Macaca fascicularis: one gene and its partner. The protein of the gene in region 1 purifies or fractionates together with the protein of each later gene. This does not show direct contact. Links are inferred from orthologs where the notes say so. Each region holds a gene or a part of one and is shown in the gene's direction. Other genes may lie near its edges. The genes, in order: MTMR9 and ATP5IF1.

Region 1 (3,816 bases):
GCAAAGGTTAAGTAGCTGATTAGAAACAGCTAAGGAGAAAATAAGTGATTTGGAATATAGATCCGAAATAATTACTCAGAATACGGAACAGAGAAGGAAGATGGAAAAACAGAGAGGTTAGACACATGCATGCGTAATAAAGGAATAAGATCCAATATTTATCGCATGGGAGTTTAGGATAAAAAATGATAGAGGCTGGGTGTGGTGGCTGACACCTATATTCCTAGCACTTTGGGAGGCTGAGGCAGGCAGGTCACTTGAGCTCAGGAGTTTGAGACCAGCCTAGGCAACATGGCGAAACCCCATCTCTATGAAAAAATTTAGCTAGGTGTGATGACGTATGCCTGTGGTCCCAGTTACTTGGGGTCTGAGGTGGGAGAATTGCTTGAGCCCAGGAGGTTGAGGTTGCAGTGAGCAGTGATCATGCTGCTGTACTCCAGCCTGGGTGAGAGAGCAAGATGCAAGACCCTGTCTACAAAAAAAAAAAAAAAAAAGAAGAAGAAGGAAAAAAAGTTGATGATGATAGAAGAAAGACAATATTCAAATACATAATAGTTGATAACTCTCCAGAATCAGTAAAAGTTACTGAACCCTTAAGCTAAGGTATGCCAGCAGATACCATACAAGATAATAAAAAAACTTTAGACGTGTTGTTGTTCAGCTACTGAACAATAAAGCAAAGAAAATACCACAAAATTAAAGAAAAGACAAATTGCCTGCATGGTGTTAGATTAACAGAGGAAAAAAATTTGATCAATATCTATTCATGCTAAACGCTCTTAGAGTTGGATTTGAAGGGAATTTCTTTGATCTGATAAAGGATGGCTACCAAAACCAAAAACACAACAAAAACAAATCTTGTATCATTCTATCTAAGTTCAAGAATGAGACAAGGATGTCCATTATCACTACTCCTAGTCAGCTCAATAAGACAACAAGGAAAAATATAGGGTATAGGGATTGAAATGAAGGAAGCAAAATTGTCATTATTTATTGATTATATGCTTGTCTTTATAGGAAAAGGAAAGAATCTTGAGATCATAGGCATTTCTCTACACCAAACACAAGTTTAAAGAGATGCAGTTAAAATGCAACAAAGATTATAGGGTTTCTAGGACTATATCTAAGAAAAGATAGTAAGACTTTTATTGAGAGAATTATAAAAATTTATGGAAAAATTTTTAAAAGCTTAAATAAATGGAGAGATAATATACTCATGGATAGAGAAACAATATTCTGAAGATGTAACTCATTCCCTCCAATTTATAAAGTCAATACAATCTTAATAAAAACCCCAGTTGGTTTTTACATTGAATTTGATAAAAGTTACCTGGTGGAAGACCAAAAGACCAAGAGGAGCCAAGTTACTCTTTGAAGTACAAAAAGGTGAGAGGAGGAGACTTAGCCTACTAGATACCAAACTTATTGTAAAAGCTCTAGGAGTTACTTAAGTGGACTAGTGGGACAGGATAGAGAGCACAGTACATTGGGACCGACAGAAGCCGCATTGCAGATCAATGGAGAGCCCTGTCATTCTCCAGAGTAGGAAATCAATAAATAAGATATCATAGCGAAAATTCAAGAAATAACAGTATAATCGTGTTATTTAGAAATGTAAAGCTAAACACCAAAAAAGCTAAAAATGTTGAAAATGATTGTCTTTGGGGAAAGCAAATTGGGATGGGCTAGCAAGGAACAGATAACTACATTTTTAAAAAAATAATAAATCTTTAGAAACTGTGTTTTTTAAAATTAATTAATTTATTATTTTTTGAAACAGAATCTCACTCTAGTTGCCCAGGCTGGAGTGTAGTGGCACTATCACAGCTCCCTGCAGCCTCGACTTCCTGCGCTCACGTGTTCTTTCACCTCAGCATCCTAAGTAGCTGGAACTAAAAGCGCGTGCCACTGTGCCTGGCTAATTTTTGCATTTTTAGTGGAGACAGGGTTTGGCCATGTTGCCGTGGCTGGTCTTGAACTCCTGGACTCAAGCAGTTTGCCTGCCTTGGCCTCTCAAAGTGCAGGGATTATAGGTGTGAACCACTGTGCCCAGCCTAGAAACTATGTTTTTAAAACTGGTAACATAAATAACTTCGAAAAGTGAAAAAAAATAATTAAAAATGTGATACTGTATCTTATAAAATCATTTTTTTAAAGTAATAATCTTGTCCTATAGTACATCTAACATACTTTTTAGCTTTATCTTCCTGCTCTTGTAACCCATGGTTAGGCCAACTCAGATATACAGAACATATTGAAATTTACATATAATTTGATTTTTTTTTTTTTTTTTTAACTGTAAAACCTTTTGACAGTCTTCAAGGTGTTTTCAGTTCTGGTGTTTCAAATAAGTTGTCATTTGATAGTTTTATATTATATACTTTTAGTCCTTAGAGTATTCAGTTTGAAATTATTTCATTGACTCCTAAGCTTAACCTTCCTTAGTATTGAGTTGTTACTGTTTTAAGAAAGGTTTTACCAATCTTAGTACATTTTTTACCTTTTTTACAAGAAAAGAACAAAGGACTTGACGTAGATAGTAGCTCTGTTCTCATCTGTTCTGGGGATGCATTATCTGGAGTCTTACAGTCTTACTTGTGCTTTTAGAGGATCATTAACAAACTAAATGGGACCCAGAAAAGGAAGAAGTGGGACGTTGGCCATGGTAATTGTGGATGTGCTTAATATACTTAACTTGGAGAATAGAACACTAAGGAGAAACAACTGTCTTTCAAACATTTGATGGGATACGGTGTGAAATAGGGAACTTGTCCTGTGTTTTCTGAAAGTACGGTAAAAACCAATAGAGGAAGCTACAGAGCAACAAGTTTTGCTCAGTATGAGAAAGAATTTTCTAGGAACTGGTGATACCTAGGAATGCAGGAAGCTGGCCCTGAACCGTGGAGCTCCTTTTCTGTGCAGCTACTTATATATAAGCTAGAGATCCTCCTGTTAAATTCCTGAGAAATGGCTTCTTCATCAGTGAAAGTTGACCTCTAAGGTCTTTTAAAATTTCTCAGATTATTTTGTGACATTGAGATAGTTGCTTAGCTTTGAAGTATTTTGTGTTTTTCAGACCAGTGAATGGAGGCTAAGCTATGTCAATAAGGAATTTGCTGTCTGTCCCTCCTACCCGCCAATTGTCACAGTGCCCAAATCCATCGATGATGAAGCGCTTCGGAAGGTAGCTACATTTCGACATGGAGGGCGCTTCCCAGTACTAAGCTATTATCACAAAAAAAATGGGATGGTAAGTGCACAGCACTACTGCTTGATGTACTGAAAGGCTTGGCTTGGGGATCTTTTCATAGAAATGTTCCCTTTTTCTATCTGTCTGTTCACTGAAATGATTGTCCAGGTCTCCACCACGAGGGCTTCCTTAGTGTAAGCTTTAGGGAATCAGGAGTAGAGTGTTTTCTGTGGTGAGGATGTGATGCTGAATTCTTCCCATGATCCTGCTCAGCCGTATAAAAGCCCTGATAGCTTTATCTCCAGGACACTATACAAAGGAAACTAGTGTTTATTTGATGCTTACAGCAACATTCTTCTGGTAGAAAAATGAGAAATTTCTCTGCGCAGAATAATGATAAAAGACTTGAATTTTTCTTACCAACTTTCCATGTGAAAGGTGAATTGAGCAGACGTATTTATTTTCAAAGGCGAGAAGAGTGATGCTCATGTCATTTAGTCACAACTCTAGTAAACACTGGAGTCAGGATTAAACAAGGAGTTAAGATAACTACCTTGTAATGGTGGTCTCTTGAAAGAACTCTAAACCATTCACCAGGGAAGACATTAGTATAGTAGACACTGATT
Region 2 (4,136 bases), on another chromosome or scaffold:
TGCCGTGGGACTGTAGTCCCAGCTACTTGGGAGGCTGAGGCAGGAGAATCACTAACCCGGGAGGCCTAGGTTGCAGTGAGCAGAGATTGTGCTACTGCACTCCAGCCAGGCAACAGAGCAAGACTCTGTCTCAAAAAAAAAAAAAAGAAGAAGAAGAAGAAAAGAAAAAAATTGGAGTCAGCAGAAAGAAATGTTTAAGATGTTTAAGACAAGGAAGTCTGTTAGCCAATACATTGGGTTGGAGTGACCTCTAAAGGTGTGTGACTTAACTGTCATATGACATAGCCTTAAGTCCTGTTTATAATTTGGTACCTTATTTACACAAAGAGCGCAGTTTGCTAAGCTTATGCTCTTTATTTCAACATTAATGCTGGTCAGTTGTTGTGCTTAAACACTAAAAGGGAGGGGACATAACAAGATGTGCTTCTGACCTCCCTTACTGTCATGGCTGGAAATTCAGTTTTTTGGGTTTTGTTTGTTTGGGCTTTTTGTTTTGTTTCGTTTTTGAGACCGAGTCTCACTCTGTTGCCCAGGCTGGAGTGTGGTGGCACGATCTCGGCTCACTACAAGCTCTGCCTCCCAGGTTGCAGCGATTCTCCTGCCTCAGCCTCCCAAGTAGCTGGGACTACAGGCACGTGCCACCACACCTGGCTAATGTTTGTATTTTTTAGTAGAGACAGGGTTTCACTATATTGGCCAGGCTGGTCTCGAACTTCACCTTGTGATCCAACCGCCTCGGCCTCCCAAAGTGCTGGGATTACAGGCGTGAGCCACCGCACCCGGCCCAGTTTTTTGTTTTGGGGGGTTTTTTTGAGACCAATATCACTCTGTCGCCCAGGCTGGAGTGCAGCGGTGGCGGGATCTTGGCTCACTGCAACCTCCGCCTCCCGAGTTCAGGCCGATTCTCCTGTCTCAGCCTCCTGAGTAGCTGCGATTACAGGCGCATGCCACCACACCCGGCTGATACTTGTTTTTTTAAGTAGAGACGGGGTTTCCCCATGTTGGTCAGGCTGGTCTCGAACTGCGGACCTCAGGTGATCCACCCACCTCGGCCTCCCAAAGTATTGGGATTACAGGCGTGAACCACCGCGCCCGGCCAGAACACTGGCACTTCTCATAACAAATGAACGCGATTTACGTATATCTAAGCCGCAGCACATTGGACGTCGGTATCCCGGACATCAGCATCCTGGACACAGCTCCCAAACCCCAAATTCCCCCATTTTATTGATGGTAGCAGGCCAGGGAAGGGAAAACTTCCTTTGGGCTTTGAATATTAACGACTTTAGGGTTGAAATCGTGGGCTGGAGGTGAACGCCACGCCTCATTCTGATGGGTCCAAGAGCCGAAATTTCGGCTTCTAGCACTCTCCTCACCCAGCTCTCCAAACTCCCCCATCATTCTTCTTTCCAGTCCTTTGGCCCTGAGCCCTTGCTAGTTGGCCAAGAATAAACTCGTCTCTTGCTCGGGATTCGCTGTGAGCTCCGGGAAGCCCGCCTCCGCTCTCCCGTGATTCGCTACTCCTGTGTTCATCCGCCACTCCGTCGACCAGATTGGGTGCTTGGCCGTCCCCGCGCCATTAGCGCGTAACGAGGTACAGCTTGCTGCGGCAGAGACGCCAGAGGTGCAGCTCCAGCAGCAATGGCAGTAACGGCGTTGGTGGCGCGGACGTGGCTTGGCGTGTGGGGCGTGAGGACCATGCAAGCCCGAGGCTTCGGCTCGGATCAGGTACGCTGCGGCAGTGTCCGCTGCTCCAGCCCCGAGGGCGGATCCCATCTTCGCTTCCCTACTTTTATCAGTGTCCCTGTCTCTCTGCAGTCCGAGAATGTCGACCGGGGCGCGGGCTCCATCCGGGAAGCCGGTGGGGCCTTCGGAAAGAGAGAGCAAGCTGAAGAGGAACGATATTTCCGGTGAGGCTCACCGGGTCCCAAGTCCAGCCCTAGATCTCCCAGGGCCTTCCAATCCTTAAACTGCCAGTCGCCCCACCCGTTTCCTTGGTGCCTTGGGCGCCCCATCCCCCAACAGAACTCCCGGGCCCCAATCTGGTATACCCTAACCCTTGATGTCCCAAGTTGCCACTTACAGGGCACTCCCAGTTCCCTGCACAACAGTTTCAGGCCCCCAAACCATTTCTACCGGCGGGTCTCCAAAACATCCCACGGCTCAACTCCTCCTTTATCATTACCATCTCCCGCGTGGAGTTCTCCTCGGGTGGTGCGAAACGCCCCCAGATTCTTCGCACAGTATCTAGATCCGACCGTCTAACGTTTGCCTCCCAGCCTGACTCCCGCGGCCCTCACCCACCTGTCACCCCCTCTACGCTCTCCTTCCTCCCCAGCACGCCTTAGCTTTGCAAGCCTGCATGCATTCAGGCTTCTCAGGTGTTTCTAGACCCCCGACTCCGCAAGAGTGAGGATCATGGGAGCTGGTCATGGGAGCTACTTAGGGTTGGACTACACCATCTCCTAAAGGCTTTTGCCCTACTCAGCCCAGCCTAGATCTGTGGATTTCCCGCTCCTGCTTAGAAGTATGGAGTGGGCTGGGCCTCCCTTTACCAGCCCTGAGTTATCTTTAACTGACTTCTGTCCACTCTGGAGAGCAGTGAGGAATTAATCTTGCTTTTGCTTGTCCTTTGGCCTTTCACTTCTGCCTTCTGTTGAGAATTATCACCATGACACCTGCCATACCGTATAGAGAGCCAAGGTACTGCTGTTAGAGACTATCTAATTGATCCCCTTCATTTTGTAGTTAAGGAAAACTGAGGCCTAAATGTGGCCAAACCAACATTGTAATCCAGTCCCTTCTTGGTACCTAAATTGAACTGCCAAATACTGCCCATGCAGGAGACCTTTTATTGGCCTTACAGCGGGCCATTCATTTCTATAGGCAAAGAAAGCTCTAGACAGATTGGAATAGGAAATGGATATTTGCCTTTTAACCACACCCCTTTGTCCCCATTTTGTTCCTTTTTTTTTTCCCCCCTAAAGGGGTTCCCTGGGTTGTTCCCCTCATAAGGTATTAGGGACTTGTGTCACATCTCTCTGGAGTTTTCTATTTTAAGGAGGAATCTGAAAGCAATAAGATCTTAATGATGGAATTTAAGCCACTAGCACCAGTGAAATCATTTTGGTCTTCTTAAGATGACTACACCTCAATTTAAGATGGGTTATTCTTTCACTAGTTGAGGAGTAGAAGAGGATGACCAGCCAGACTCCCATGGAACTGGGACTCCTATTCCTTGCTTAGACATTACGGGTTATGCTTAGAGATCTCTTTGGGGTGAAGGATTGAAATTAAACCCTGAGCCACCGTGTCCTTGTAGAGCACAGAGTAGAGAACAACTGGCAGCTTTGAAAAAACACCATGAAGAAGAAATCGTTCATCATAAGAAGGAGATTGAGCGTCTGCAGAAAGAAATTGAGCGGCATAAACAGAAGATCAAAACGCTAAAACATGATGATTAAGTGCACACAGTTCCCCATAGAATGGCACATGTCACTGCCCACTTCTGTGTAGACATGGTTCTGGTTTAATTAATATTTGTCTGTGTGCTACTAACAGATGATAATAAATTGTCATCAGTGAACTGTGTTTGATGCCTTCTTCTATCTGGAAGAGATAGACGGAAAGACACTAATGGACTGCTGAAATGGATTAGAGGGGTCCCTGCATCCAGGAGCCCACAGAAACGCAGTGTGATAAGTGCTATGAAACAACATGAGTTGGGGGGATAGGTGTGACACAGACAAGGTACCCCCCCAGTCTAATTAGAGGTGTTCAGAGAAAGCTTCTTGAAGGATAAATCCCAATCTAAAGCATAAAGATCAGGAGGAGCCTGGAGATCCGAAGGAGTCATTGCTTCAAAAGATACAATTGGGCCAGGGGCGGTGGCTCATGCCTGTAATCCCAGCACTTTGGGAGGCCAAGGTGGGCGGATCACCTGAGGTCAGGAGTTCAAGACCAGCCTGGCCAAAATAGTAAAACCCCGTCTCTACTAAAAATACAAAAATTAGCCAGGTGTGGTGGCATGCACCTATAGTCCTAGCTACTCAGGAGGCTGAGGCAGGAAAATCAGTTGAACCTGGGAGGTGTAGGTTGCAGTGAGCTGAGACTGTGCCACTGCACTCCAGTCTGGG

What was found.
Region 2: the proteins of MTMR9 (region 1) and ATP5IF1 purify together in Homo sapiens (affinity purification with mass spectrometry; 5 studies listed by BioGRID and IntAct, with this or other methods). This does not show direct contact. The link is inferred for Macaca fascicularis from reciprocal best matches to the Homo sapiens genes MTMR9 and ATP5IF1.

The regions. Positions count from the first base shown.
Region 1 is NC_088382.1:9,609,789-9,613,604, reverse strand, and holds part of MTMR9 (myotubularin-related protein 9), read left to right. Parts: intron 1-3,076; coding exon 3,077-3,250; intron 3,251-3,816. UniProt on the Homo sapiens protein: Acts as an adapter for myotubularin-related phosphatases. Increases lipid phosphatase MTMR6 catalytic activity, specifically towards phosphatidylinositol 3,5-bisphosphate and MTMR6 binding affinity for phosphorylated phosphatidylinositols.
Region 2 is NC_088375.1:206,827,167-206,831,302, reverse strand, and holds ATP5IF1 (ATPase inhibitor, mitochondrial), read left to right. Parts: upstream 1-1,611; 5' UTR 1,612-1,641; coding exon 1,642-1,728; intron 1,729-1,818; coding exon 1,819-1,910; intron 1,911-3,181; coding exon of another isoform or gene 3,182-3,185; exon of another isoform or gene 3,186-3,322; coding exon 3,323-3,464; 3' UTR 3,465-3,586; downstream 3,587-4,136.